Oryctolagus cuniculus: one gene and its partner. The protein of the gene in region 2 purifies or fractionates together with the protein of the main gene of each other region. This does not show direct contact. Links are inferred from orthologs where the notes say so. Each region holds a gene or a part of one and is shown on either strand. Other genes may lie near its edges. The genes, in order: POLR1D and POLR1F.

What was found.
Region 1: the proteins of POLR1F (region 2) and POLR1D purify together in Homo sapiens (affinity purification with mass spectrometry; 3 studies listed by BioGRID and IntAct, counting the BioPlex papers as one, with this or other methods). This does not show direct contact. The link is inferred for Oryctolagus cuniculus from reciprocal best matches to the Homo sapiens genes POLR1F and POLR1D.

Annotation. Positions count from the first base shown.
Region 1 is NC_091440.1:86,887,747-86,904,030, forward strand, and holds the start of POLR1D (protein POLR1D), read right to left. Parts: upstream 10,551-16,284; 5' UTR 10,398-10,550; coding exon 10,372-10,397; intron 1-10,371.
Region 2 is NC_091447.1:11,736,659-11,751,739, forward strand, and holds the end of POLR1F (DNA-directed RNA polymerase I subunit RPA43), read right to left. Parts: intron 13,107-15,081; coding exon 12,965-13,106; intron 8,599-12,964; coding exon 8,390-8,598; intron 7,109-8,389; coding exon 6,697-7,108; 3' UTR 4,839-6,696; downstream 1-4,838. UniProt on the Homo sapiens protein: Component of RNA polymerase I (Pol I), a DNA-dependent RNA polymerase which synthesizes ribosomal RNA precursors using the four ribonucleoside triphosphates as substrates.

The DNA of each region.
Region 1 (16,284 bases), on a different chromosome or scaffold from region 2:
AAATAATAATCCTACAACTTTTGCTTCACCAAAATTCTGTAGGGGATAAGATCCCAAAGAAAATCCCTATCACTCTCCCTTACTGCTTTTTCAAAATAAAAATGTCCTTGATCAACCTAAGTGGGAGATATTTTATTTTAGACAGAGAGATGACAGAGCACAGGATAAAGGTGGTGAGGACGGCAGTGCCAAAGACTCTTGAGGACAGAGAGTGGACATTCACTGAAACAACACATGAAATGGAACCAATTTTACTGAGGCTGTCTATGACAGAGTCAACCCAGTTCTTCATCCCACTGAAGCCACAGGACAGGCATGGTTCATTCCTCACTCAAGAACTTTGTTTTCCTAGGACTTGTATTCTGGTGGCTCTCTGAATATAAAAGGATCAGTGGATGAGTGAACAAAGTATGTCATTATGAATCAGTAGTCCTTCTTTGCAGTTTCTCCTCTCTGTTGTGACAGTCATACATTCCTTCACTGACTTGAATGAATGTTAATGAGAGCCAGCTTGTGCATCTCACATGGCCTTTTATGTGTTGGGGACATAGAGGCAAACAAGGATAGTGTGGCTGCCCTCAGGGAGCCTTTATTTGACTTAAACAATAAACAGGGGCAGTGCTGTGGCATAGAGGGTAATTTATGGAGCAATGCAACTCAGTTTTAAATTCCATTTTCTAATTTAAAAAAAATCTTAGGGGCCAGCGCTATAGTGCAGTGGGTTAAATCTCCAGCCTGCAGTGCCAGCATTCCATGCTGGTTCGAGACAGCTGCTCCACTTCCTATCCAGCTCTCTGCTATGGCCTGGGAAAGCAGAAGATGGTCCAAATCCTTGAGCCCCTGCACCTGCATGGGAAGACCTGGAAGAAACTCCTGGCTCCTGATCGATGCAGCTCTGGCCATTGCAGCCAACTGGGGAGTGAACCAGTGGATGGAAGACCTCCCCCCCGGCCCCGCCTCTACCTCTCTGTCTCTCTCTGGTAACTCTTTCAAATAAATAAATAAATAAATCTAGAAAAAAATCTCAATGCCCAGAGTCCTATATAAACTCTTCCCTAACACTCCCCTCCAAACCGATGCTTTCTTTAAAAAACAAAACAATAAACAGATAAATATACAATGTAATGTCAGTGAATAATGAGCACTATGAAGGAATACAGCAAGCCAACGGGATGGACGGTGATGGAGGCTTGTATGTAGGCATACATGCACACATACTATTTCAGAGGTGGCTGTGGGAGGTGGCCTCGAACATGGTGCCAAGGATCCCATTTTCTGGTATTCAGATCTTGCATAATCTCCCCTTGAGTGTGGGCTAGACTTACTGATTCATGGATGTCACTTGTGAGATTAGTGTATAAGAAGGCTGGCTTCCAGCTTGAGTTTAACTATTTTGGATTTCCTACTCTGGGGCCAGGCAGCTGCCATGGAAATCAAGTAGTTTCACAAGAGTGGAACTGAATCCTCACCAGGTGGGCCTCACAATGGCAGCCAGGTGACTCCACATCAGGATCATTAGCCAAGGCCACCCAGATGCCTGACTCACAGACTGTGGGAGATGTCTGTTGTTCCTGCCACTAAGTTTCAGAGTAATCTGTATGCAGCAATGGGTAACTAATACAGTGGTATGAGCAAATTACCTGGGAAAGGCCATGTGAAGATTTAGGGGGGCCAGCACCGTGGCTCACTTGGCTAATCCTCTGCCTGTGGCACAGGTACCCCAGGTTCTAGTCCTGGTTGGGGCACTGGATTCTGTCCTGGTTGCTCCTCTTCCAGTCCAGCTCTCTGCTGTGACCCAGGAAGGCAGTGGAGGATGGCCCAAGTGCTTGGGTCCTGCACCTGCATGGGAGATCAAGAGGAAGTACCTGGCTCCTGGCTTCAGATTGGGCAGCGCGCTGGCCGTAGCGGCCATTTGGGGGGGGTGAACCAATGGAAGGAAGACCTTTCTCTCTGTCTCTCTCTCACTGTCTAACTCTGCCTGTCCCCCCCCCCCCCAAAAAAAAAAAAAAAAAGATTTAAGGGAAGAGAGTTCCAGGAAAGAACAAGTGCCAAGAACAGAAACAGGGAACAGCTCAACATAACTTAAAGAAGTCAGGCAGCCTGGTAACCAGTCACAGGTGATAAACGTGGAAAGAAGACATGGCCAACTCAAATGAGCAAGCCCTGAGGGCTCCTGTGGTCAATGAGACACAACCAATACTGTGAAGACTATTATTCTACCACCACTCATTCATCACAATAGTCCTATGAAGTAGGTGCTATTTTATTAGTCCAATTTTACAGATAAGGAAACTGAGGCTCAGAAAGGTAGATTCCCTCACATTTATAAGCCATTGAGTGATGGAGCCACCAGGCCCTCCAAATTCAGTCCCTACCTTTGCCTCTATATGACACTGCCTTCAAAGAAAGGTCTCTAGGGAAAAGACAAGTCTTTCCTACCCTTGAAATAAAAACAAAAACCCAACCCCAAACTGCTATTTAAGCCAGGTGGTTCAGACTCTGCCTGATTAGATGCTCCAGGCAATTTGACTTTCTCTTAGAGTCCTTTTAATAGAATTGGTTGAGGTATTTTCTATATTTTTTCTTTTTTTTGAGGTTTTACCTAAGTCAGGAAGCAAAAACTTAGAAATGCACCCACATAGGTTTTCTTTTTTGACATATGCTAACATACAGAGAATTTACTGAGGAAAATATCAATAAAGTCTATATTAAGCAGTTTTAGGCTCACCAACCCAGAATGAGCCCTGGCCTCTGACCAATATTCTAGATACCTGGCACCAAAACAGGTATCCATCTGCTAGATTTGCTTTTCCTTCTTCTTAATCTTTATCTTGAAGCTTGGGAAGGATTAGGAATGTTCCATCAGAATCAGTTTATTTTTGAAAAGAAGAGAAACACAATCCATTTATCTTTCACTTTTATCTCTATTCTATAAATAGGAATGCTATTTTAAAATATCTACTCAAAATCTGTAACAGACTGGTAACCTCAGATTTGTAGAAAAGTGCTGTCTTTGGCTAAAAAACCCCAGAAGGCCATTAAGGTTTTTTGTTTCAAAATTTACACCAAGAAATACGACCAAATCAGCTTGCTTAACAGAATTCGTAACATTAATTGTTCACATTGATAGAGAATATGCTACACATGTCAGGCACTATCCTAAAGCACTTTGAATATGTTATCTAAATTAATAGTTAAAACATCCCTCTCCGAGGGCTGGCATTGTGGTACAGCAGGTTAAGTTACCACATGTAACACCAGCATCCTATGTTGGAATGCTGGTTTGAATCCCATCTACTCAGCTTCTAATGTGCCTGGGAAAGCAGCATATGATAGTTCAAGTACTTGGGCCCATCACCCATGTATAGGAGACGCAGATGGATCTCTAGACTCTTGGCTTGGGCCTGACCCAGCACCAGCTGTTGTGGCTACTTCAGGAGTGAACCAGTAGATACAAGATCTTTTTTTTTTTGTATTTGTCTCTTTCTCTTTCTGCCTTTCAAATAATTTTTAAAAGATTTTAAAGATCTTTAAAAAATTTATAAAGATTTTTATTTATTTATTTGAGAGGTAGAGTTACAGACAGTGAGAGGGAGAGACAGAGAAAAACGTCTTCCTTCTGTTGGTTCACTCCCCAAACGGCCACAATGGCCAGAACTGTGCCAATCCGAAGCAGTGGCCAGGTGCTTCTTCCCAGTCTCCCATGCAGGTGCAGGGACCCAAGCACTTGGACCATCTTCCACTGCTTTCCCAGGCCATAGCAAAAGAGCTGGATTAAAAGAGGGGCAGCCAGGACTAGAACCAGTGCCCAAATGGGATGCTGGTGCCGCAGGCAGAGGATTAACCTACTATGCCAGGGAGCCAGCCCCTCAAATTTTTAAAAAATACACACATAGATTAAAAGCAACACACATTTAGGCGCTAATAAAAACCATACACATGGCCGGCGCCGCGGCTCACTAGGCAAATCCTCCGCCTGCGGCTCAGGTACCCCAGGTTCTAGTCGCCATAGGGGCGCCAGATTCTGTCCCAGTTGCTCCTCTTCCAGTCCAGCTCTCTGCTGTGACCCAGGAAGGCAGTGGAGGATGGCCCAAGTGCTTGAGCCCTGCACTCACATGGGAGACCAGGAGGAAATACAGCACAGGCCGTGGTGGCCATTTGGGGAGTGAACCAATGGAAAAGGAAGAACTTTCTGTCTCTAACTCTGCCAGTCAAAAAAAACAAACAAACAAAAAAAACCACACACACACAAAAAACAAACAAAAAACATACACACATACAGAGACACAAATTTAAACTGCTTATTTCTTTCAAAAGTTTCATAATATTAAGGTTTCTTTTTAAAATTCTGGGCGTCACTCTCGTTTTTGGTCTCCTTTTCTCTGCTCAAATGATACAGCCTTGGGGACAGTGCTGTGGTGCTGGCATCCCATATGGGCGCCGGTTCAAGTCCCAGCTGCTCCACTTCTGATCCAGCTCTCTGCTATGGCCTGGGAAAGCAGTGGAAGATGGCCCAAGTCCTTGGGCCCCTGCAGCTGCATGGTGGACAAGAAGCTCTTGGCTCCTGGTTTGATGGCCGTTGTGGCCATCTGGGGAGTGAACCAGTAGATAGAAGACCTCCCTCTCTCTCTGCCTCTCTGTAACTCAGCCTTTCAAATAAATGACTTAATTGTCACTAATTGTTCAATTTCTCACTGCTATCATTCTTTCACTTCCTCTTTTAACTAAAATTGGATTATATATGTATCCATGTTTCTTTATTTTCTGTCTTTGATATTAGAAAATAAACCACATGTGAGCCAACCTGTTCCTTGTATTCCTAGTCCCTAAACTGCATCTGCATATAGTACTTGGTCAATATTATAGAACAGGGGTGGACATTTGGCCTAGGGTTAAGATGCCCATATCCTATTGAGAGTATTTGAGTTCTATTCCTGACTACAGCTCCCATTTCCACTGACTCTCCTAAGTAGGAACAGACTGTAGGGGAGAGGAGATGGTAAATACTGGTGTGCTTTTTGGTCTGAGGGAATGGCAGAGAAATAAAGGGGTAAGTGAACATGGATATGGGGCTCCCAAGAATTCTGGGGTCATTTTCAACCGTTCTCTCACCTTTAATTCTATACAGAATCTGATTCTTAAGTTACTTATTTTTCAGCAGAGTTTTATGTTCATCCTTTATCTCCATCGCTACAATTATACCTTCCTTTCATTACCCCTGGATTATTCCAAATGCAACCTAACTCCCTGCTGTCCTCCTGTGTTTCCTTCCAATCATCCTTTCTGCATAAGCATGGGTCAAAAAACCCAAACTTATGACACTTCCTAGTTCAAGCACCATTAATAGCTCCTTTATTCTGGGAAAGAGGAAATCATTTACTCTGCAACACAATTTTATGCCAACTTTCTAACTCTGTGAGTTACTAACAGGCAGACTGTGCCTGTCTGGTTTGCTATCCTCAGTGCCAAGACAGTGACTGGCAGAGTGGGAGCTCATTACAATCAATTCTTCAATCATCTCTCATCTATTCCATTGTACATCCAGTCATAATCCCCTGTACAGTACATTAGGTCACTTCACTGTAAATACAATTTGTTTTCTTTTTCATATGTACAACTCTTGAATTGCATTATGAAAAAAATACATAACCACACAGTAACTATAGCAGCAGATTATGAATTTTAAAAGTAGCAAAATGAAAATCAGCATTGAGAATTTGAGTGGAAAAGGTCTGGAACTGCAGGCCTTTACAAATACTTCAAAGCAGACAGGTAGATTTGGGTAAACTTCTGGGAGCTCATTTTGAAGGTGGCACAAAGATTGCCTCCAACTCTAAATTATGCTAACCTAAAAGATGACTTTTGTCCAGTGATCTGCAGACTGTAATATTAACAAATAATTAAGGGAAACAGAAAGAGTGGGAAACAGAACTTAATATGCTTTCGTATTTCTTGAAATGCAAGACACACTTTGGATTAGTACTGACTGGGTCATTTTTTATGTAGACACCTTTTCACCTCCACAGAGATTTTATAGGAACCTGTGTGTTATGTCTATTAATTTAGAACACTTAGGTGTTATAGCTACATGCAATTTATAAATAATTAGTTTTTAAAGTGCTTTGAAAATGGAAAGTGCTAGGTAAGTACTCAGAATTAGGTATTAAAAGCCTTTGGTATGTAATCATATTGTTGAATAATTGGCTCTTTAAAAAGCATAATTCACAGCTGAACAGAATTTCTGACCTTGAATGATTTTTGTGAAATGCTAGTAAGAGAGCAAATCAGAGACATGATCAAGGTATTTTCTCACAGAATATACAAATATAACACATCCTTTTTCCTCATCCTTGTGTAGACAAAGTGAGATTTCCCTCGATTCCTAGACTTCACACAGTGATTCCTTTCACATATGTGGGACACTTGGCTATCCTGCCCTGTTTCTTCCCTTGGCCCATCTGCCATCTGAAGGTGTTTTATATGAACCTGTGTTCAAGGCTACCCCAGGTTCAAGACCACATGCCACATGATCAATGACAATAAACCCTTTTAGGCATGATCAAAATGTGGTGGGTAGTCACTTGTGGGTGCACTTTTCCATGTATACTCTTTATTATTAGTTCAGTCTACTATGATCATTCTGTGTTTACTAATTGGATTTTGTTTCCATCTCCTGACAGGCTTTGGTTCAAAGAAATTAAAACTGCAGGCAAAGAATCCTGTTTACTATTTCTACAGGTCCAACCATGGGCAAAATTTTGGGAGTGGCAAAGAAATTTTTGTTCCTTTTCTACTTCGCACTTTTGGGTGTCCTTGCATCTTTTAAGTGCTAATGCCCGTATACTGACATTGGTTTTCCAGAATCTACATTGCCCTAGGAAAATATTCTACCTCCTTGCTCCATGTTTTTGATCTTTCCTAATCCCTGCTATTACCCAAATCTACCTCTCCACTATCCTCTGTAAATTTTCCTTGTCTGCGAAGCCTCAAACTAAGCAATTCCTCTGGAGAAGGAGTGTTTACTCCCCTCTGGCACTAAATTAACCCTAACCCTGTCCATCCTCCAGCGACCTCCACCTTAACTCCAACTATTTTTTTGTGCTCAACTGATTCATCCAACATCACTCTCCCCTCTTGGAAACTCTTCCACAACTCTTACTTTCTGCATTTTCCTACCACCTCACCAGTTGCCCCTCTTTTATCCAAACTTTAATACTGAGGTTGTTCAAGTGCTTGGTCCTGGGCCCACCTCTCTGTCACTCACTTTTTATGGATTATCATCTTATTAGCTTATCTCCAGCTTAGATCTCTTCCTTGACCTTCAATTCACATAAATACAACCTCTGGAGTTCAAAGAAGAAATTTGATCACCTATCATTTTTCCCACCTCCCATCCTTTTTGCCTCTTTGAGCATTCTCATTTCAGTAATTAGGGCCCTAACCTCAGTAAGTCATCTTTCTATTTTCTCATCTTCCATATCCAATCCCTGAATTGGTACAACCAATTCAGTTCCAAATTCTACTCTTTCCCCCATCATAGGCTTCTAATTGTACCAGGCTGCTTCAACTCTTACAGTTCTGTCTTTGCATTAATCTGACCACTCTATAATTCATTTCCCCTCACTATAATCAAGAGGTCATTCCCATCACACCAGCTTTCTCCCATCAGTCCAGAGAATAGGCCTCATCCTTGCCTACTTGCCTACAATCAAATCTTCCTTCAATACCTTCAGTTTCCCAGACCACTAGTTTTCTGCTTCAGGGCCTCTGTACATGCTATTCCCTCACAATGTTAATTTCCATCATGAGAGCCTTCTCTTCCTGTAATCTTGGGAAGAGCTTCCCTGACTTCCATACCTAAAGCAAAATTCTCTCTCATGCTTTCTATCTTGATATTGTATTTTCTTCCCCAGAATTACAACTTTTTAAAAATATTGTTTCTCTTATGCAACACTTATTGTGTCTCACTATTATACCTATCCCCAAGGTACAAACCAGAAGCTCTATAAATAAATATCTTTAAAGAGGCTCTAGGGCAGCTCAACTAAGAGTTACTGAAAAGCTAACATGCCATAACTACCTACAGGGATTCATCTCATATTTACTAAGTGTCCACCTGCTGTCCAGTGTTGTGCTAGGTCCCAGGATCACACGAATAAATAGGATCAACTAAGGCCCCAAAGCACAGTGCATTGGGATATGGGAGTGCTCAGGCTCTAGGGTTGACAGGTATTTAGGATAATTGAAGAAGGAAGTTCTGGTATGACTGGTATGAAAGATGTTGAAGATGTAGACAGATACAATGGCTCTTGGATGTGATTTCACTAATATTTCAAGTTTTCCAAGTCATTTTCTCCACATGGTATTTTCCCTCTGTGTCCTTTCTCTCAAATAGTGTTTCTTCTATATGACCCTAGGCTACAGTTGGATACCTACTTAGACTAAAAATGTAATTTGCTCATTCCAGGTTTCTCCTCAGGCAGTAAACAATTATTCTATAGATGGTACAAAGATGGAGCTGGATAACTCCTGAGACCCTCATGTGAAACCAGAATTCTCAAAATTCTTTCAAATTATTCCCTAACCTTACCCAATCCCCTAAGAGAAAAGGATACAACTTTCTCATCAGTAAAATATCTAAGAAGCCAAGTCCACATCCTGACCTTCTTTCTTTTTGAAACCCACCAGTCTATCTGCGTAATGGTCTATTCCATCTCCTCTTTGCCTCACCACCCCAATCCTAGTCAGGAATGTATACTCCTTTTGATTCCCATGATGAAACCACTATTTTGGGTGCCTGATGCTCTGTTTTATCACTTTAAATGTTGGCTCTACTGCAAGCAAATAAAGTCATCCTTGAGGATGTTGCAAGGAACAGAAACCACTCAAAAATAGTTTCAATAAAAGAGGGAATTTATTAGGAGAATACACAGGTTCTTGCGGGGATTCCAACAGCTGTGATGAATGGGTCAACAGCTAGAACCATTTTTTTTTTTTTTTTTTGGAAAGATAGAGCAGGTTGTTGTAATCACAAACTTCTAATTCTGGGTTCTGCACAATCATGAAGAAGAGTATCCCAGAGATTAGTCCTCCTTGTATCCTGCACAAGGGACTAGAATGTGGATTCACTTCTGCTTGCTTTTTGATCCTTATAGTGCTTTATGCTGGCCTCAAACTTGTCAAGCACATGTTGGCAGACATTCATGAGCTCATTCAGCCCTCTCTGAAATGGCTCAACAGCTGGAAGAGCACCTCGAGTCTGAATGCGCAAATTAATTTTGCTCTCTGAAGGATGGGTCGTAGTGTAACCACAAAATTCCACTTCCGGGTTCTTCATAATCATGTAACGCAGAGAATTTCCTAGGGTATGGTCCTCCTCGTGCAAAACAAATGTCACACAGTGTCTATCTGTTCCAGCTGCCTGGACCATTTCCAGGGCTGTCTTCCTCTCGCCTTCGGCCATTGAGGTCTTCAATCCAGACATTTTTCTACACACATATTTTTTATAAAAGTGAGATCATACTGAATATTGTAACTAGCTTTTTTTTTCATTTACTATATCACAATTGCCACACATCATTACTCTAATCCACAGCAATTACACACAGAACTGTCAGCCTCTCTCTTTTCTGCCTCCACCACTTCTACCAATGAATATTTAATTTGCTGACTCCAGTTTCTCCCTGCTCCATTAACTATCCACGTGGGCCACACGGAGCATCTTCTTAGAAAAACATACACTTAAGTGTCTGCAAAGACATTTCTTTTGGAAGAGTCACAAGAAAGGGATATAGCATAGGGTGAGCCCTGCTGGAAGAGGAAAAGGGAGTTGAAGGTGTAGAAAAACACAAGATTGCTCCAGCATATAAACAGAGACTACAGATTATCAATGTGCAGGCCCAACTATGGCTTCCACTTGCAAGAGGTAAGGAAGCTAGGAAACGGTAAGAGCTGAAACAGTACAGCGGGAGGGAGAAACAGAACTCAGCGCTTTGAGGCAGGGCTACACGGCTAACAGTCTGCACGGAGGAGGAGGGAGAGCGGTAGTGACGGGGGGGCTTAAGCCGGACTGAATACGCCGCTGTTCTAACGGGGTTGGGCAGTTTCGGGACCCAACTCTGCTCTGCCAACTGGTCCGCCCTCCTCGAGAACTACTGTCCCTCGGAGCGCCTCTATTCAAACACATCCACGACTCCTCCCTTCTCCTCCCCGTCGGGCCCTGTTCCCTCTCTCAGCGTCCCGGGTCGGGCCCCTGCTGCTCTGCAGGGCCGCGGAGGTTAGGCCCGGGCCGGGCCGCGTGCCCGGTACCGCCCGCTCCCCTGCCTGGGCGCGGCCTACTCCGCCCGCCCCGCCCGCCTTCTCGGCCGTTACCTCTCCAGCTCTTGGTCGTCCTCCATCGCGGGTGCCGGTTCCAGGATCCTCAGGTGGTGCTGGCCGATCGGAGGCTCTGCCCCATGCCGCGAGCTGAGCGGCTGAGGCAGGAAGGAAGGAACGACGGACGGAAGAAGGCGGCGACGGAAGGAGGGAGGAGGAGCCGCAGCGGCGCGGCAGGGTCCGGGCGCTGGGCGGGACGTGGAGGCTCCGCCCCCGGCCCCGCCCCCGGCGCGAGGAGGGCGGTGGCGCCGGGCCCGAGCCGCTCACCTGGCGCGCCCCCAGCCTGGCGGCGTGCGGGGCGAGCCGGGAGGAGGGCGGCGGAGGGCCCGCTGGCGTCGCACCCGGAGGCCCCGGTCACAGTGCGTGCGCCCGAGCTCCACCTTTGGTACCGTCTCCCCAACTGGTGGCGAAGGGGGCAGGGCCTTACCTGCCGCCCCCACATCACCTCCCTTCTTGGGACCCAAGTCCGGCCTGCTAGACTCGACTGGAACCCTGTGGCCTCCCGGGAATCCAACCTCTTGTGGGACCGCAGGCTTGGGCTATACCGTCCTTAAATAGGAGGGGCTGAGTCTCGTTAACAGAACGTGGTGCTTCAAGACAGTACTCAGTGGGGTTCTTGCAGCTAAGCATCTCCCCCGGGACACAGGACAAGCGTTTACCGTTTTCCTTAGGGGAGAAGTGGGAGTTTGGGAGCACACTCACCCACCCCGTCCTTTCCTTCCCCCGGCCATGCACCTCCCTTCCACCCTTTTCTTTACCCCTTCTGCACCCCACCCCCGGGGAACCTCCCTCTCATCTTTGTTCCCAGGCGTCCCCTACCCCGCTTCGGCAGCCTTTCCTCGGCGGGGTTCCCTCTCCGGCCCCTTCCTCTCTGGGAGTGTTCAGTGCTGCTCCCCGCTGCTCACCCCCGGCTCCCGCAACCTCTCTAACGCCGGCCAGCCCCGGTCGCTGCCCTCTACCCCGGCTGTCCTCTCGCCCAGCACACCTACACGCCTGCTCTCCCGCGCCACCTGTTCCCCTCGACCTCCCCCCACCCCGCTCCGTGCGTCCCCTGCTCAGCTGTCCCGCTGTCCCCGCGGCTGCCCGGCGCTCGCTCACACACTTGCCGAGCGCCTTCCACAGAGGAATCAGGCGAGCGGCGGGGACAGCCCCAGGCGGGTGGGGGAGGGCGAGGGGCGAGGGACGGAGTAGGTTCACTCTAACCTAGGAATGACGGCCCCTCCTGGTCCGCCCCCTGCGTTCTCTGATAGGTGGATCCGCCTCTGATCCGCCCCCTCCCCGCCCTGTGGCGCCGCCGATTGGCCCAGCAGCGTGTCGGGTTGGGCCGCTCAGCCCGGCGCTCGCCCCCGGGAAGGCAGCAGGGGCGGTTGAGAAGTGAAGTCTTGGCCAGAGTTTGCTTCTTGCCGGGAAACCCGCGACTGCGGCGGCGGCGATTCCCGGAGGAGCGGAGCCTGGCCGACTCCCGGCTCCCTCGGCGGGCCGCGGAGAGCGGGAGCTGGCGCCTGGCTGCGGCGCCGGGAGCCCCTGCGCGCCCCGGGCAGCCGCGCTTTCCCAGTGAGTAACTTTGCCTTGCCCTCCCCGCCGTGCGCTCTCTTCGCCGGCTGCCGGCAGCCGCCTCAGGTGCGGGGTGTGGGGCAGCGCCGCAGCCCGCGCTCGAGCCGCCGTCCTCCTCGGCTCCGTTTGCTCGCCTGGGCTGCGGGGCCAGCGCGGAGCCGAGTGCGGGGCTGGCCAGGCTGGTCCGGGGAGGAGGGGACGGCTGCCCGGCGCCTGGCTCCTGGCGCCCGGCGCCCGGCTGGCGAGTGGAAGGCGGGCGGCCCGGGGTTTGGCATTGGGTGGTTCTGGCCACCGCGGTGCGGATCTTTGCGTCGTTTGCTCTTTAGGGGAGACCAGAGGTGGTGGTGATTTTTTTTTTTTTTTTAATTTCGCGTGTGTGTTGGGAATGAGTGTGGCTCCAGCTGCTTCCCCGTCGGATTTCGTGCCCCTGGAAAGCAGTGGAGGGACATCGGCCCCAGCCTGTTGCCCAGGAATCCTCAGGCTGGAGACGAACTCCTGGGGGTAATTTCAAAATACGGATCTTGATTTGGAAGCATTGCACACAAAGCAACATGAGGCATTCAGGAAACACATCCCTCTCTTTATGCCACGTCTTAGACAACTACTTCCAACTTAGATGTAGGGTTTCTAATAGTATTTCAGTTATGGATCCTGACTTTTGGATTTGCCTAGAGTTAAAGTACATTCATGCATGGGCTTCCCTGTATAGATTTTCCTTTTTTTTTTTTTTTTTTTTAAATCACAAGAATCAGAAACGAAGTTGAAAGAAAAGTGGTCTTAGGGCAGGAGGAACAGTTGTGAGCTCCAGTTTATTGGAACTGGCCTCACTAGGAATTTCGCATTCTTGAGGCAATAGTACTTACTTGCAAACTGGCCTTCTTCCCAGGAAAGATTTTGATTTTTCTGTTGCACACACTGTGACACAGCACTGATGCAGTTGGATACCAGTGGATCAATTTTAATGCACTTTGAAAGATTTGTTTCCCACCCCCACAGCCCTTTGGAAAGAGGACTTTGGCAGGTAAAGGAGGAAGGGGGAGGAGGGATCTAGTATCCTGTTGGGCCTGTCAGAGCTTTGTTGAGCCAGGAATAACAAAGTTTGGCCTTTTTAGCTTGTCCAACTCTCATATGTGAGTTTTCCCATAGGGATAAAATCTAGGCCAAGTCAGAGCCAAAGTAGAATAACTCTGCTCTTTATTTGGCCCACTTGTGTGTCAACATTCTTAATTCTGTATCTTGTTCCTCTCTTCATGAAATTTTGGAATTTTTCATTATTCATTCAAACCACTGATAAAATGCCTACTGCATGCCAGGCGTTGATGGCAGGGTCAGTTCTTGCTCAGAAGTTGCTCGAACTCTCATTTGGAAGCTGGTCCTCACCTCTGGTCCACTGCTTATCAGAAAGTAACTTGAACAAAGTGCTATGGGAACTTAGAAGATGGAGCATTTGCCTGGGGTTTGTTAGAGGAGGCCTCACATGGGCACTCTTCAGGTTGGTGTGGGATTTTACCAGGTACAGCCTAGGCCAAGGGACTGACATACATGCCCCTTGCAAGTGGCTGCATGTGTTAGAGAGTTGCTTTATGAAATCTGTGTTTGGTCAGCTTCACCAAGGGACACAGTGTCTGTAGTTGAAGTAGTAGTCAGGGGTGGTATGTTACTCATTTCAGACTTAGCATTTTGCCTTGCTTACAGCAGGCACTCAAATGCTTACTGAACTGACTTCAGCAGAAAAATGGAGGATTTTGCATAACGAATTAGAAAATTTGGACCTCATCCAGTCAGTGATATAGAGCTGCTAATTTTTAAGCAAGGAAATATCATAACATTTGCGTTCCAGAAAGATATCTGCAGTGGCCTGGGGGAGGATGGGCATCCAGGTGGGAGGTAGGGAGACAAAGTCAGAGGTTGTTAGAATGTAGGGGTTAAGTCCTCAGGGGCTTTTTATTTAGATATTTGGGTTTGAACTTGGCTGTGTCATTTACTGCACAACCTCTTTGTTCAGTAGGTTCTTCATCTCATAGGGCTCGAGGGACTAAAATGTAAAAGAAACCCCAAAATTCTGTATATTAGAATAGTGTGTGGCATGCATTGAGGACTTAGTATATACTAATTGTCTTTCTGTATGAAGGCAATGGCAGGACAGGTGATATGGCATTTAGGAGGTATGGCTAGGAGGCTGGACTAGGTAAGTGGGCAAGACTAATGAGACAAGGATAATGCCTGGGTTTTCTGACTTGAGGCATTGGCATGTACAGTATACAGGTTAAGCTGGCTTTGGAGTCAGAACAGGGGTTGAATTCTAATTCTGTCACCTTCCCTTAGGATTCCTGTCCCGAGTTTGGATTTCCTAACATTTCGGAGATGATCCTAGTACCTGTTTATTAGTGTTTGCGGATCAACTGAAATTACACATGTAAATTCCCTTGGAACAGTCAAGTGCTTAATAAATATTAGTTGTTCCTTTAGTGATGATGACATTAGTGAGAGAGTAGAGGGCAAGGGGATATAAGAAGGAGCAGTAAAAACAGCTTATAGGCCAGCGCCGCGGCTCACTAGGCTAATTCTCCGCCTGCGGCGCTGGCACCCCGGGTTCTAGTCCCGGTCGGGGCACCAGATTCTGTCCCGGTTGCCCCTCTTCCAGGCCAGCCCTCTGCTGTGGCCCGGGAGTGCAGTGGAGGATGGCCCAAGTGCTTGAGCCCTACACCCGCATGGGAGACCAGGAGAAGCACCTGGCTCCTGCCATCGGATCAGCGCGGTGCGCCTACCGCAGCACGCCGACTGCAGTACGCCGACTGCAGTACGCCGGCCGCAGCGGCCATTGGGAGGTGAACCAACGGAAAAAGAAGACCTTTCTCTCTGTCTCTCTCACTGTCCTCTGCCTGTCAAAAAAAAAAAAAAAAAAAAACCAAAAAACAAAAACAGCTTATGGTAGAGGTGGGGAAGGCAGGATAACACAGTCAGTTTTGGATACACCCACAACATACCGAGTTGGATGCTTGAAGAGCAGTTGTTGGATTACATATGTCCAGGAAGAGCTGGAAAAGAATGGAAAAAAGAGTTCACACAAAGCCTTTGAACTTTATGGAAGATTTGGGGGAAAACGAAGCAAATGAGATTTACAGTGTAGTGGTACCATGAGTGTTAACATTTAAAAGCAAGTGTCTCTATGCTTAAAATGGAATTTGGCCACCAACAAAGGAAAACTCCAGGCTCATATAATCTAGTTGGCACTGTTCCCTGCTCCATTTTTTTTCTCTGATTGCCCTCCAAAAATCAAAATACATTTAAATTTATTATGCAGAGCCGTTTAGCCTTTCCTCTTGCTTATTGCACCACAGTTCCTTCCAAGCCCACCTTCCCTATCAAAACCCAACAAGGTTTCTCAAAGACCTTGTTGGGTTTTGATAGAGAAGATCTCATTTCATAGACTCCACACCACTTATGAAGCAGTGTTGGTTGAAAAACATAATGCGTATATCTTGCCTGTAGAAAACAGGCCTAGGGTGATCCTGTGACAAGGCCTGGAAGTTTTACCAAACAAATCCCCTTTAGCTGTCTTGTCTTGTTTCTTTCCCTCAAAGTACTAAGCGAGAGAAAAATCTATGGCTACGTAAGTTTCTTTGCTTGATTGAATTCAGAAAAAAATGGCTATTTTTATATTAGTCTAATGGGACATTATTAGAGGATTTTAAAAAAAGTTCTTAAACTTTTATTTGAAAGGCACAGTTTCAGAGAGAGAGAGTGAAAGAGAGATTAATCTTCCATCTGCTGGTTCACGTCCAAAATGGCCCCAATGCCAGGGCTGGGCCTGGCTGAAGACAAGAGCTTGAAACTACATCTGAGTCTCCCACATGGGTGGTGGGGGCACAAATACTTGGGCCATGTTCTGCTTTCTCAGGCACATTAGTAAGGTGCTGGATTATAAGTGGAGCTTCTGGGACTCTAACCAGGACTCATATGGGATGCCATTATTACAGGTGGTGGCTTAACCTGTTGCACCCCAACTCTGATCTCTGAGGATTTTATTTTTAAAAAGCAAATGCTCGTGATGGTATATTACAATAATAAATTGTCCTGTGGTTATTTAGGGTGCTCTTAAGGAAGCAGGCATTGTAGGTTCTGCTCTTTAGAAAGTATGCTTCCTAGAGCAGGGATCCCATCTGTTCTGCTTACTGCAGAATCTCAAAGCATATGGAACAGAAGATATTAATTTACATAAAAATGAATGAATTGGATTTATTAGCTTTGATCTGTATTGACTCACAGACTTCTCCAATCTTTGATAAGAGGAAAAGAGAGAATTGATTGAACAAGGAAGCTTCAAGTGCTTCATGTACTTACTGGAAGACGCAG
Region 2 (15,081 bases):
CAAATAAATGAGAATAAGTGGGAACAGGTTTAGCATTCTAATGTTTGAGAAAATGCAACTGAGACTTAAGATGTTCCAATGTACTAAATATTTATTTGAAAGAAACAGAAGACAAAACAATGCCACAAAGCTATTTACTGCTGCCAAGGCAGATCTGGGAGAGAAAATTGTTTAGACCAGACACCCGAACATCTTTTTTTAGTAAGAGTCAATATATACTGAGCTGAACATTTCATGAACTTTCCGTGAATTACCCAGGAGATACGACCAAAAGAAGGTCACATCACTTGCAGAGTCATCCATGACTTTTCAATTTTATTCTTACTGTACAGTATATAAAACCTATTTTAAAACAGTGCTTTGTATATTTAGAAAAACAAAGACATTCTCTAGTGCCTAAAGAATCTTTTTTTTCTTTTACAAAATAATAAGTGCTGGTTCCAAAGGAAATTTCAACTTCTAAAAGTAGAAACCAGAGTTCACCTATGAATACTGCAATGTACAATACAGCTAGAAATTAACAACTTCAAAAGAGCAACTAACAGAACAATGTGGGGGCTGCGGGGCAGCTGTTCAGGAGTTTGAGGTAGCAGGTTAGGTTACCAGGGCTTACATCACAGTTTAGGATGCCCACATCGTATATCAGAGTGCCTGGTTTGTGTCCTGGCTATTCTGCTTCTTGTCCAGCTTCCTTCTAAATGCAGGTTATGGGAGGCAGTAGGTGATGGCTCAAGTATTTGATTCCACGCCAACTGCATGGGAGACATGGATGTAGCTTCAAGCTCCTGGCTTTGGACTGACCCAGCTCAGGCTATTGAGGGCGTTTGGAGACTGAATCTGCAGATGGAATCTCTGACTCCTGGACTTTCAAATAAAATGAAAATGAAAATGAAAATAAATAAGTAAAAATAAAACAATGAAACCTCTTGGAAATTTTAATATTCTTCTAAGTAATCTTTGAGTCAAAGAATTCAAAGGTGAAATTTCAGATTATCTAGACATTAGAAACAATGAGAACACTACATATCAAGCCTTAGGCAGCGCTGTGGCATAGCACGTTAAGCCACAAGGCCCACATCCCATATGGGTGCCAGTTCGAGTCCCAGCTGCTCCATTTCTGATCCAGCTCCCTGCAAATGGCCTGGTAAAGCAGTGGAAGATAGCCCAAGTGCTTCAGCCACTGCAACTATGTGGGAGAAGAAGCTCCTGGCTTTAGCCAGGACTGTTGTAGTCATTTGGGGAGTGACTAGCGGATGGAAAATTCTAACTCTGCCTTCAAATAAATAAATGTTGAAAACAACAACAAAAAAGGGCCAAGGGGATAGATACAAGACAGAGAGGAATATTTTTGGTTCAAATGCTTCTGTTAGTAAATGATAAAGCTTTTAATTAATGGGAACTAAGAATTTAACCTAATAAGCCAAGAGGATTGGAAGGTGGGGAAGAAAAGAAAAAACACACACAAATATAGGATTTTTTTCCCACAAAAGTGGGAAACCTGGTAAATAAAATCAGTGGAGATTTAAGAAGACTAATAAAATAAGCATATTTTAGAATGTCTGGCCAGTCAGGTTAATATAGGAAATCAATCACTTTCTTTCATGCCAGTGAGAACCAGACAGGAAATGTAATGGCAAAAAAATTAATTAATTAATAAAAAAATCATTAGCAAAAGCAATACATGCTACAAAATACAAAATTCCTGAAAATAAGTTTAAGACATATGAAATACCTTAAAAGACAAAAATTTAGTACCACTGAAGGAAGGAACAGACTTGAATAAACAGATTTGCCATGTTTATTGCTAAGAAAAATTAAGTATTTTACAGAATTCAATTGTTCCTCAACTTCTCAATTTGGTGTAGTTCCAAATTCCCTAAAAGCTTTTTTTCCTAATTTTACAAGAAGAATTCTTTCAAAAGATGTATTTGTTTGCAAGGCAGAGCAACAGAGTGATGCTACAGAGAATCCTCTATCTGCTTGTTCATCCCCTTGTCCCCTACCCCCACTCCCTAATGGGCACAACAGCCAAGGGTAGGCCATGCCTAAACCAGAGGCTAGGAACTCCATCCTCATCTCCCACTTGGGTGGCAGGGGCACAACTACTCGGACCATCATTCACTGTTTTCCCAGACACATCAGCAGGTAGCTGGACTGGAAATGTCGAGCAGCCAGAACTTTTTAACTGGCACTCCAATATGCTAAACTAGCATTGCAAGTGGCAGCTTAACTTGCTGTGCCACAAAGTAAACCCCTCAGGTTCCACTTTTAAGTACATCTGGAAAACTAGAAGAGAGGAGCCAATATAATTTTGAAAGCCAGAAATCAAAATGTAACATAAAGCTGTCTATTAGTTTTCTATGGCTATTTGACAAATTGCCACACATTTAGTAGCTTAAAAGAACACCCAAGGGACGGCGCTGTGGTGCAACTGGTTAAAGCCCTGGCCTGGAGTGCCAGCATCCCATATGGGTGCTGGTTCTAGTCCTGGCTGCTCCTCTTCCAATCCAGCTCTCTGCTATGGCCTGGGAAAGCAGTGGAAGATGGTCCAAGTCCTTGGGCCCTTGCACCCATGTGGGAGACCCGGAAGATGCTCCTGGCTCCTAGCTTCGGATTGGCGCAGCTCCAGCTGTTGCGGCCATCTGGGGAGTGAACCAGAGGATGGAAGATCTCTCTCTCTGTCTCTCCCTCTTTGTAACTCTGCCCTTCAAATAAATAAAATAAATCTTTAAAAAAAAAAAAAAAAAAAAACAACACCCAATAGTTCAGTTTTCTATAGGTCAGAGTCTGACAAGAAAAGGGTTCTCTGCTCAGGATTTTACAAGAACGTAATCAGTGTCAGCCAGCTGAGTTCTCTGGAGAATCTGGCTCTTTCTCATCATCGGCAGAATTCTGCTTCTCATGGGCATGGCATGGAAGTCCTGGCTTTTCTGCCAGCTTTGGCTTTAGGGCCACGTGCCCCACCTCACTCTCTCTCCTACCCAGTTCTCCTCATGCTTCAAATCTCACGTCCACTTCTGCTGCCAGCTGCAAAAGAACTGACTTCCAGGGGCTTATGCGATTAGGTTAGGTCTAATCACCACCCTATCTTAACACAACCAAGCATGGGGGTGAAATCTATTTTGGTCCTGAGGGTGACTGTGGGAAATCTCAGGGGCCTCTAAGAGTTCTGCCTACCATAGGGTAGTTAACAGTGCAGCCTTTCAGAACACAGCTGTACATCAGAAGAGAATCAGGACAATTAATAGGGTGTAGAGTGTGGTATAGGCTAAGATAATTCTTCAAATCAAGAGAGAAAATATGAATTAACAAACTGGAGACATGTGGAGCATCAGTGTAGGAAAAACATGAATTTTTGTAGCAAAACATATTCCAATTTCATATGGGCTAAAAATTCAAATGTAAGAAAGTAAAATGATAAATATAAGAAAATATGAGTTTCTTATAATCTCGGGTTGAGAAATGCCTTTTTAAGAACACTGGAATAAGAAAGATTACTGATGACATGAAACCAAACATTTCTGAATAGCAAGTCGGAAACTTAAAAATATAAAGGACTACAAAAATTGAACATGAAAATTAGAAAAACATTATTATCCTAAGAATATACAGAGCTCTTAAAAATGAGCAACAGAAACATCCCACAAGAATGATCACAGAACATGAGAAGATATTCACAGGAAAATAAGTGTATACACAAAAGTGGCTAAATTCATTAATACCAGATAAATTACACACTATTTCCACCTAATAGACTGTTGAACAGTAAAACAATTAGCATCGTCCATGACTGCAAGGTTGCCAAGTAGTAACTGCTAATAGGATCTCAAGCTGGTACAGTTTTCTGGATGACAATCTGACAATATATCAAAAGGTAAAACTGTTTATTCCCTTAAATAACTATAATTTCACTTCTAGGACTAGACCAAATTTCTTCCACTTGGAAGTTTTCCACCTAAGCTATCAATAACAATAAAGGGACTTGAAAACCACATCACATTCAGGCCGAGCAATGAATTCATTTACTGAAACAATGGGTGAAAATGTTATAAATATCACATCAGAGGGAAAATGATACCATTTGATACTGTGCGTTTAATTATCCACTTAAACATTATCTGTTCATGCTTGCAACATATAAAGGACTCACTGCTAAATAGTATAGATGGTTTAAGTGTTGTCACAGACCTTAGGGAGCTTATTTGGTCAAGGCAAACATGATCAAGAGACACTCTTCAAAAACAGGAGAACCAGCTTGAGACAATTATGCAGACTGTTAGAGTAGAAAACAACCAATTGAAGCAAGATATTTTGTTTTAGCCCTGTGCAGTATAGAAAACCTTTACGTGGAAGTTAGTATCTGCAGTCTTCGGCATCAGATGCCCCTCAGGCCTCTGCAGGGCTCTCAGCCAGAAGGCCACAACCCTTCCTCAGCTCCCTTGGTCAAAACACTACTCATCCAATCACCAGCCTGAACACTACCCTCTACTTCAACTGGCCAAAGTGGCTCTCTGCCTGTTCCCATGTGAGATTCCCACTTTCTGTATTTAACATTTACACTTAGCTGTGTACCTTACCGACAAAGCGCTTCTGAAGAATATTATGGAGGACTCTTTCACTGGTTTCTTATCAGAAAAGAGGTCCCTACAATTCCAGGCAGGACAAATGGATAGATCTGACTTTTCGGTTACCCACGCTGTGAAAAATCATAGACAAATCTAGTTTCAAGTTCAGCATGTTGCTTCCTTTTTTCTTCAAAGTTGCAAATTATTTTAAAATTACAGATTATTAGCATTAGTACCACTTGAAGCAAAAGTAAAAGTAACATGAGAGTATGGTTATGTTGCTAAGCCACAATTTATTTTTCTGTGAATAGCATAAATTAGATATCTTTGTGTGGTGTGTACACAATAGGGGGAGTTAAATTTGTTTCACTAAAAATAAATTTTCTACATTGTTGAACATGGTTACAATTATAAATTTAAATTTTACAATTCAGAAGAAGCAGTTATTAAGCATATTCAGGTGTGTCACTGTATTAAACCTTGATAACATAACATTTCACAACTCATACTTCCTTTAAAAGCACTGAACATACCAAAACGCCTTCTGTGCAATTTTTAATCTTTTTATAGAAAAAGAAAATGAAAAATAAAGGCTGAAACTTTATTATTTTATTTAAGCCACTATACCAAAACCATTACAATTTCAGCAGTATAAAAACTGAGAAAGTTAACATTCTTTTTTGTATATTCTCAAAATCTGGCATATATTTTATACTGACATCATGCTTCAATTCAAACTAGCCACACTTCAAGGGCTCACCAGTCATATGACTCTCAATTGTACTGAAAGACGTTGGCCTGCACAGTTCCTATGTACATCTGAAGACAATGATGTATACTGTCCACCACTCTCCAGATTCTATATTCTGCAGGTTTAGATAAGGACATACCACCAGCAGAATTTATTCATCATCAGACATTAAACTGTGAGACTCTGTCTGATCCTAGATAAATGGTATCAAAAATGGTTGACACAGGGAATTCATCCACTTCTGGCAAATACTAACAAAGTAACAAGTATACAGTTTTTTTTTTTTCTTCAAGGCACTTAATAACAATTACTAACATTCCATATGTTCCACATTTTCACAGATGTTGCTCCTGCAATGGAAGGTACCACATCTACCTCATTTGCCTTATATCTCTGGGCCGTAATACAACATTCTGCACTTAGTAGATGATCAAATATCTGCTAAATGAATGAACATGGCTGTGTATTATTAGCCTCCATCAGCTTGTCATTTCACTGCTCTGTGTTCTGCAATTAGTTAAGATCTATCCCACGTTATCACAGTGAATGGCTGTTTTCGCTCCTGAACAGTTTCCAGTGGCCTGTCCCAATAATGAAAAGATATTTCCCATAAGTCACAACCACACTGATCCTGTCTCTGTCAATTTCTCCTCCAACACACAACAAGGTCCAAACAGCTAAGGCACAAAAGACAAGCAGAAGCACACTGCCCTTTTCATCAACCTCAGGCTGGGAAAAGGAAAACAACACAACCGCGGCTGGAAGGAAAGAGCTGTGGACAGTCAGCAGTGGTGTGGGTAACACTCTGGAGACTTCAGAAGCCCTGTGGTAAACCTCTCTGAGTCAAACAGCAGAAATACTGTGGAAACCATGACAAAGGAATACCTAAAGCTCACAGATGTCCTGAATTAAAAAAAAAAAAAAAAAAAAAGGCAAAATAAAATGATGTGCAATGACTCAAGGTAATACTTATACCCCCCCCCCCCAAAAGAAAAATTAAAAAACTCCAAACTCAGGTTGTTGTTTATTGATGTGAACAACAGTGTATACTACAGTTCTCTGTCAGTCTTGAGATTCTTAAAACAATTTTATGTAGAATGTAAAGCCTGGAAGAATGTTAAAGTCAGCAGAGATAGCAGCACTTTTCTGTTGTTCTCCATATAATAAAATGGCCTTCAATAATATTGGGATTCCTCAAAGAAATTTATAGCCAATTTTGTAATTTCAGCCCAAAACCACTCCAATTCCAAGGCAAATACTTCCTGTTTTGTAAGCTACTGGTACACATAACCATTTCATGTCATTGGAAACATTCACTCAGCTCTTTTGTATAAATCAATCTTTTAAAAACTGAGTATATTTAAAATTCACTAAAGAAAGTTACTTTTCCCTCTTCTTTTTAGGTGAACATTCCAAAATTGGGGTAAGTTCAGTCTCCTCTCTGTGTTTTCTCTTCTTCTTTTTCTTTTTGTGGTCACTCTGGTAACCACTAGAGTCACTGCCTTGGAAAACAGGGTCCTGGCCCACATCTTCCTGATGCTTCCTCTTCTTGCTCTTCTTCCTCCGTGGCTCCTCCTCCCAGAGGCCATTCGCGCTCTCAGCAGCCTGCAGGTCTGGCTCTTCATTAGGGGTGACGTCTGCAAACTCCACTGGCTCTGGGTTACCACTGTCCACTTCACATGTCTCTGGATCTTTCTTCTTTTTCTTTTTCTTTTTAGCAGGTTTTTCAATGGCTTCTTCAGTGCCAGTTTCTGTGACTTCTTCAGAAACTTCAGAGCACTTGGGTTGTAAACTGTAATTTCACAGTTTAGAAACATTAATTGAGCAAACAGCAAAACTGAAAGAATGAATGAGATCAAGAATACCCCCAAATGCTAAGATTTTCTAAATAAAGAGGAGTAAACAAGGCATATGCTACAGCATCATTTTCAAATTATCCAGTTCACTGAAATGGCAGTTGGTATTGAATGTGAATTCAACAATGTTAAATTTAACAGTAACAAATTTTTTGTTTCTGAAATATTTCTCCTGACTGTTCTTACATACAAAAATGACAAAAATCTTTTGTCAAAACACATCTAAGAAATTTCACTTTGGCTCAGAAAAATCTGGTCACTGAACATTAACACTATTTGCCAAACCACTGACATTTGATTAAAAAAAATACATTTCCAGTATATATCAGAGTTTCTGGTCCACTATTTCAGTCTTTATTTCAAATTTAAAATAACAGTCTGTCATTCTAGTTAGCTTACCTGGAGGCAGTATTACTTCAAAGTTAATTATTTTATATCACTAAAATAAAACAAGGATTTATGAAGTAGCTTTATGCCCAGAGCTGCATAGTTCTATGCAGTAACACTCTCCACAGACAACTATTTAAATTTAAGTGCTTCTAATGATGTGGCTTAAAACATTTTGTTCCTCAGTTACACTGGTGACATTCCATGCACTTAATTGTGAAGCTTCTTTATGGTGTGTATAGCACATTACTAACATTCAGAAATCCCTATTGGACAGCTGTTTCAGAACTTCAGCTCATACTCTGGTTACTCACTAAGGTAAAATCTAGGAAAAACTGTTAACATCTACACTATTTTTCAGATAGTGTCCACTTTCTCCTCCATTATTAACCATGTTCCCATGGAACCAAGCTGAAGATCAGAGTAATTCATATAAGAAATTCAATATAAGGAAATACAGAAATCAAAATATCTACCTGGCACACAGACGACAATAATAAAAACAAATTATCTAGTTCCAATGATGTAAAAATAAAAGTAATCTACATGTTATACAACATGATTGTGCAAATAGTAGTTTCAAGTTCAGAGCTCAACTTCTTTAAAAAAACAAACTAGAAGATATGAATGATATACTTTTACTCAAATACAGACTAGCGAGCAAGACACAGAACTTTGATGCATTGTCATACGGCTTATGATTACCGTTTAATACTGACATTATGATTTAAAAGCATCACTATTCTTATATATGTTTAAAAGCGAGGTTATGAATTCTGAACTAAGTAGAAAAGATTAAGTATCCCGTGATAATAATGTGACGGACTAACCTAGTGACACTCAGTTTTCCCCGAATGCAGAATACTCCAGCAGCATCGGAATCTAAACGAAATACTTCAAACTCCAGTTCATCACCCACGTCTATCTCCAGGGTTTGCCACTGCTCAGAGGACATCTGCTCAGGTTTAGGGATGGACGCATTAAAACACCCGTGCACTAAACAGCCGATGTGACTAGTGGACACTTTATTAACTGTACCCTGGGGAGAAGGGGGAGGAAAGAGCACAACAGAGATTCACAAGATTAAAAGGTGAATCAAGCTTTCTAAGTTCCAAACAGATCTTCAAAAAGAAAACATCAAATTAAAGGTATACATTCAGCACAAAGTTTATCTCAATTAAAACTTACCACATGTCGTAACCCATAAATCGTACTTTGGAAATTTATATTCATTAAATAAAAGTTAAAAAAAAAAAAAAAAAACAAAAACTTACCGCATGTCAAACTATAACATCACCTTAGAACTCTAGAGTTTTCCGACAGTTCAAACTTTAATAAACAAATAACAGGAAGCCAAGTGTCTAACTGGATAAAACACAGATAGTCCCTTCCACAGCCTTCCTTCCCTCTACCAACAAAAGACACCTCTCTCCCCTTGCAGGATTCCCTGGGGAGCAGATTATGTGACAACCACACTGAAAACATGCTCTGATAGGGCTTACACTCTAGGCAGGGAAAGCATACGCTTTTTATAACTGGAATCCATAGTACTTGTCTATAAACAGTCTGAAATTCAGAGATTACAAGTGTACTCTTTAATGATTCAATTCAGAATGATATCAGCAGTCCTATTAGGAGATAGCTTACCATGTATATGAAAATCTAGACCATAACAATTTTGGCTAAATAACAAAAATATTGGAGGCTTTAAAACTAAAATAGAAGTCATGTGCTATAGGATTTTAAACTTAAAGTGAAACTTTCCATAAAACTTAAGTTTTCTATCCTCCCATCCCTAGGAATCAATGTATACAATGTGTATGAATGACAATCCTGAAACATTAAAAAATTCACATTTTCTAGATTATAGAACCATATGTAATACTGCCATGTATGCAAATCTGTATAACATCAGCAACCCTTAAAAAATGTGACAGAATAAAACTCCCCTATTTGTTATGATCAGGGTGTAGTCTCCCCACTGTGGTTTTTGAATAGTCTAGATAAATTAAGGTGTACCCACAGAACGGAGTACTACTCAGCAACAAAAGGAAAAGCACTGCGAAACCACAGAAAGACTGGAGGAAACCGAAGACTACCAAGTGAGAGAACCAAAAAGGCTACATACTGTATGTTCCCAACAACTGGACATTCTGGAAAAGGTAAAACCATGGTGATAGGCAATAGATCAGTGGTGGCCAGAGACTGCGGGAAAGGAAGGGGTGAACAGGTGGAGCACCAAGGTCTAGGGCAGTGCAACTATTCTGTAATGGTAGATACAAGTCATTTTATATTTGTCAAAATCCACAGAAGGCACAGCACAGACAGAACTCTAATGGAAACTGTGGGCCATTAAACCTCAGACTGAAATGTAAATAAAAAATATGCTATCTCAAAAATAAGAAATAAAATACTGTTTAAAAAAAAACCTCTTTTCTAACAATAGGAAAAAAATAAAAAGCCAATATTGCCTCAAAAACTGTAACAAAAAACTGTAACAAATAGATCACACAAACCAAGAGAAGATGATGCTAAGATGATGTGTGTGTGTGTGTGTGTGTGTGTATACTGGGATCCTGTACAAGCTACTTAACCTTTCTGTAAACCTAAAACTGCTTTACAAATACTCTATCCCTTACAAAAACCAATGAGAGGAAAATCTTTTGAATTCCTAAGTTTGGAACAACTGGAAAGTTTATGGACAAGAAAATGGTCTTACCTCACCTAGACACAAGAAATTATTTAAGACTGATCACATACGCAAATTGAAAAACGAAAACCATAAAGCTTCTAGGAGTTCACAGAAGAGTATCTTCACTACTCAGGGGTAGACAAGTTTCTTTAATAAGATCCAGAAAGCAATAACCAAAAAAATGTAAAATGATAAGGTGGACCTCATTAAAATTAAAAGCTCCTCCATCAAATGATACCATTAAAAGTTAACAAATAAGTCACTGACAGGGAGACAATATTCACAATACTTTTATCTGAAAAGGATTTATATCAAGACTATAAAAGGAGGGGTCAATAGCAGGTAAAGCTGTTGCCTACAATGCCAGCACCCAATATGGGTGCCGGTTGAAGTCCCAGCTGCTCCACTTCCGATCCAGTTCCCAGCTAATGGCCTGGGAAAAGCAGCTGAAAACAGCCCAAGTGTTTGGGCCCCTGCCACCCTTGTGGAAGACCCAGATGAAGCTCCTGACTCCTGGCTTTAGCCTGACCCAGCACTGGCTGTAGCAGCCACCCGGGGAGTGAACCAGCACTCTGTGGCTTGGACTTCCAAATAAATAAATATTAAAAAAAAAAAAAATAAATGAAAATGACAATATAAAGAATATTAAAACTCAGTAACGAAAATACAAAAATTCAGTGGAAAATGGGCAAAGTCTTGAAAAGGCATTCCTGTTCAAACATGGAAAACTGCTCATAAGGAAAAGCAACGGGATATTACTATATGCCCACAAATAAAAATAAAAGATTGACAACACCAAATGTTGGCAATCAATACAGTAAACGGAAGTGCTGAATGGGAAATTAGTCTGACAATAATCTTTCATAAAGGTAAAGATAAACTTACCCTGCTACACAGCACTTCCACTACCAGTTTACTGAAGAGAAATAAAAATGTATATTCATTATTGCTTCATTCATAATAGCCCCAGATTGGACATAACCCAAATGTACATCAACAGAGATAGTCAATTTGTCATATATTCATAAAATTGAATACCATGAACAATAAAAATAGGCAAATTACTAACACAGAAAATATCATAGGCAAAACAAAAGCATGTTGACCTAAAGAAGCCAGATTTCAAACATACAATGATTAAATCCATCAATATCAAATTACAGAAAAATAAAACAAATTTATGATCAATGAAGTCAGAACTGTAGTTGTATTAGGGACAATGAGAAGGAAGTGACCAGAAAAGGGCCTGAAGGTCTAAGGAAACAGAATGGGAAATGAACTTGACAAAACCCACTGAACTGCACAATATCTCATTAAAAATCAATAAAAATTAAAAAACATGATTAGTCAAAAGTATTTGAAGACTGGATCTTGCTGTAGGATTGAAAATAAAAAAGGACATGTTTCATTTAATACTTTTGGTACAATTTGGTATAACACCCATATACATGTTTATGTTTGTGACAATATATACAAAGCTGATGGAAGTTACATTTGGGAACTTTTTAAAAAATTTTCTTTATTTATTTTATTTGAAAGGCAGAGTGACAGAGGGAGGAGAAGAGCCAGAGTGAGCTATTTCCCACAGACTGGTTCACTCCCCAAATGTCCACAATTACGATATGAGCCAAGCTGAAGCTAGGAGCCCAGCACTCCATGCAGGTCTTCCACATGGATGTTGGGGCCCAAGCACTTGTACTATTTTCTGCTGCTTTCCCAGCTGCATCAGTAGGAAGCCAGATTGGAAGCAGAACAGCTAGGACTCAGATTGGAGCTTCAACATGGGATACTGGCATCACAGATGGCTACTTAACTGGCTGTACCACAAGGTCAGCCTTAAGTTTGGAAATTTTCAAGTACAAATCTACTTGTAGTCCAGCTGTGAGATCCTGTTCAGCAGGCAAGGGATCCTATTTCTATTTTAAATAAGATTGATAAGTTTTTTTTTTTTAATTACAATTGCTTTATGGTTTTTGTCATAGTGAAATTGGATCTATATTATTATTAACTGTACCAAATATGTTAACTTTTTACCTATAACATCAAGCAATTTCTATAATTTTTAGAGAACATAAAATATGAACATACATGCACATAAGAACCCATATGTACTGCACATTTACAAACGCATGCTCACACATACAACTTGCGGCAGGAGAGAGAGAAAGAGGATAAAGGGATACATTTCAGTAGATTTCACATCACTTCTCCATCTCCAGCTTCTGAGAAACTGGAAGATCTTCCACCCACTGTCTTCATTCCTACAGCAGAGCCTAGCTGCCTTTTTCTGTCTTTCATTCATTTTCACTTGCCTGCAGGCCCTTCCCCGCCAAACCACTGGAACTGTCTTTACCCGCCTAGCCTTACAATCACCTGAACTGTTTTAGATCCACTATAATACTGTCTGAATCCTTATGAATAAAAAATATTTGTGCAAAATAGAGTAATTTTAAAATAGCAATAATACTAATTAATTTTTCCTCCTAAAATCATTGTGGTACTATGCAAAAAATAAACTGGATGGGACAAATATTCTGTGCATGCATGTGCTTTAGAACTTACCTACATGGAATTCTAGAAAGTAACTTTTCTTTTTCCTTTAACAATTTTTATTCACCCACAATAGCAATTTATTTGAGTCTCAAGGTATAACTGCCAAAGTACATAAAGATATAATCACACAAAGAAAGCTAGAAAAGAATGACATACATACCTTAAGCTTTTGCCCTGGTTCAGGACAGAAAATAACAAAATCGGCTTCAATGTTAAGATGAATGTGTCCTTGATCATCATAAATATCTCCCAGTTCACCCACAACTTTGATGTTATCATATGCTATGGGGACCCCTAAAAGGCTGGTTAAAAAAGAGAAGAATATATTTTATCTTCTTTCAAATCAAGCCATTATCACACTAATTAGATATTCTAAGAGTCCAAAAAGCACACAGTTCTAACAATTTCCTCCCATATCCAGAACAATAGTCCACAGTCTGTAACAACTTTAGTAGTCCCATTTCCCTATGGGTTCCAAAGCAGAAGTTAAAAATATTATTTAGGCTTAAAGTGACTATTTGAAATCAAGCACTCAGAAACAAAATGCCCAATTATGCATGAGCAATAAATTGATCCTTCTTCCTTACCTGCTACCTATTTGAATTCTAGTCATGCTAGAAAGAGAATAATGAGACTTGGCAAGGAAAATGTCAGTGTATTTTTGTATGAGTGAATCACCAGCAATTTTGCTATTATCCACCATTACTGAATTTCTGTTCTTCATGGCATACACCAAGGGAAGCATCAGGGTTAAAGCTGAAGCTCCTGAGCATTAAAGCCAATGATTTAATAGAGAAAAATCCCAAAGTGCAACTTTTGCTGGTAAATGAAAATGTTAAGAAACAGAACGAAATCATTTATTGAGAACCGACTCTGACACGTTAGATTGATCTAGAAGTTTGATAGACAGGATTAGGGGGTAACTATTATTTTAAAATGTCACTTTCCAGGAGCCAGCGGGTAAAGCCACTGCCTACAACACTGGCATACTATAAGGGCACTGTTTCGAGCCTCAGTTGCTCCACTTCCAATTCAGCTCCCTGCTAATGGCCTGGAAAAGCAGCAGAAGACGGATCAAGTGCTTGAGCCCCTGTACCCATGTGGGAAACCCAGAAAGAAGCTCCTGGCTCTTGGTTTCCATTTGGCCCAGCCCTGGCCATTGCAGCTATTTGGGGTGTGAACCAGTGGATGGAACACTTCTCTCTATGTCTCTTCTTCTCCCTCTCTCTGTAACTCTTTCAAATAAATAATTAAAAAAAAAAAAAAACTTCTCAGTTCTTAATGAATTGTAACTACTAAGTAGAAAAACCTTAAGTTTTCACTACCACATCCACAATTACTGTAAAAAAAAACTTCCCCAATTCCTTGGCAAAGCTAAATCACTCCGCCACTCCTATGGAACCTTATGTCCAACTTTATCATATTCATCTAATTTTACTGAATTATCTGCATACATGTTTGGTCTCCACACATGACTGCAATGCCCGTGACCACAGAGAACACTTTTTGTTGTTGTTGTACTCAGTTACCTGGCTAGCATGGCTCATACAGAAAAAGAGAAAAAGAATGTTCCTAATAGATTTTGTTTTAGTGAAACAGCAAGGAGTCACAGAAAAAAAACTTACACACACACTCACTTTGTGGTATCATCTGTTGCCTGTATCTATCAACACGACACTAAAGGCTGGGAAACACTGTTTTGTGTGGCCCTTTACCAAGAATAAATAAACTATTTCAAATCACCATTGGTGACTGGAGCTATTAAATGCATGATCTCAGCTGCTATCCAAAATATCCACATCAATCCACATGTGTAACTGCACGATTCTTAGGCATCGAAGTTTTCAGTCTTCCAAAGGAGTTATGCTTGAGCATCATCAAGTTGAAACACATCTTACTGTATTGCAATAGAACACAATATAGGGGTTTTGTTTTTTACTGTAAAGGTAGGTGATACTTCTTTAAGTTTCATGTCAGCACAGTGAAGAGTGTTTTCACAATACTAAAGATGTCAATGCAAAATATTCCTTATAGAAAGGAGATACTGGGTCCTGCATGGTTCAGAACCACTGGTTAGGGAATGGAACCACAGTGCAGAAGGCCAAAAGGATTTGTAGAAATTCAGCAAATCTTTGGGAAAGCAATGCACATCATGTAACTAACCAAAAGCCTTCAAAAATGCAAAGACAGATACTCCAACACTGTATAAATGTTCCTATTTTACTTTTGTTTTTCAGAAACAATCCTACATCAGTGGCGGGGCAAGGTGGTAACTTC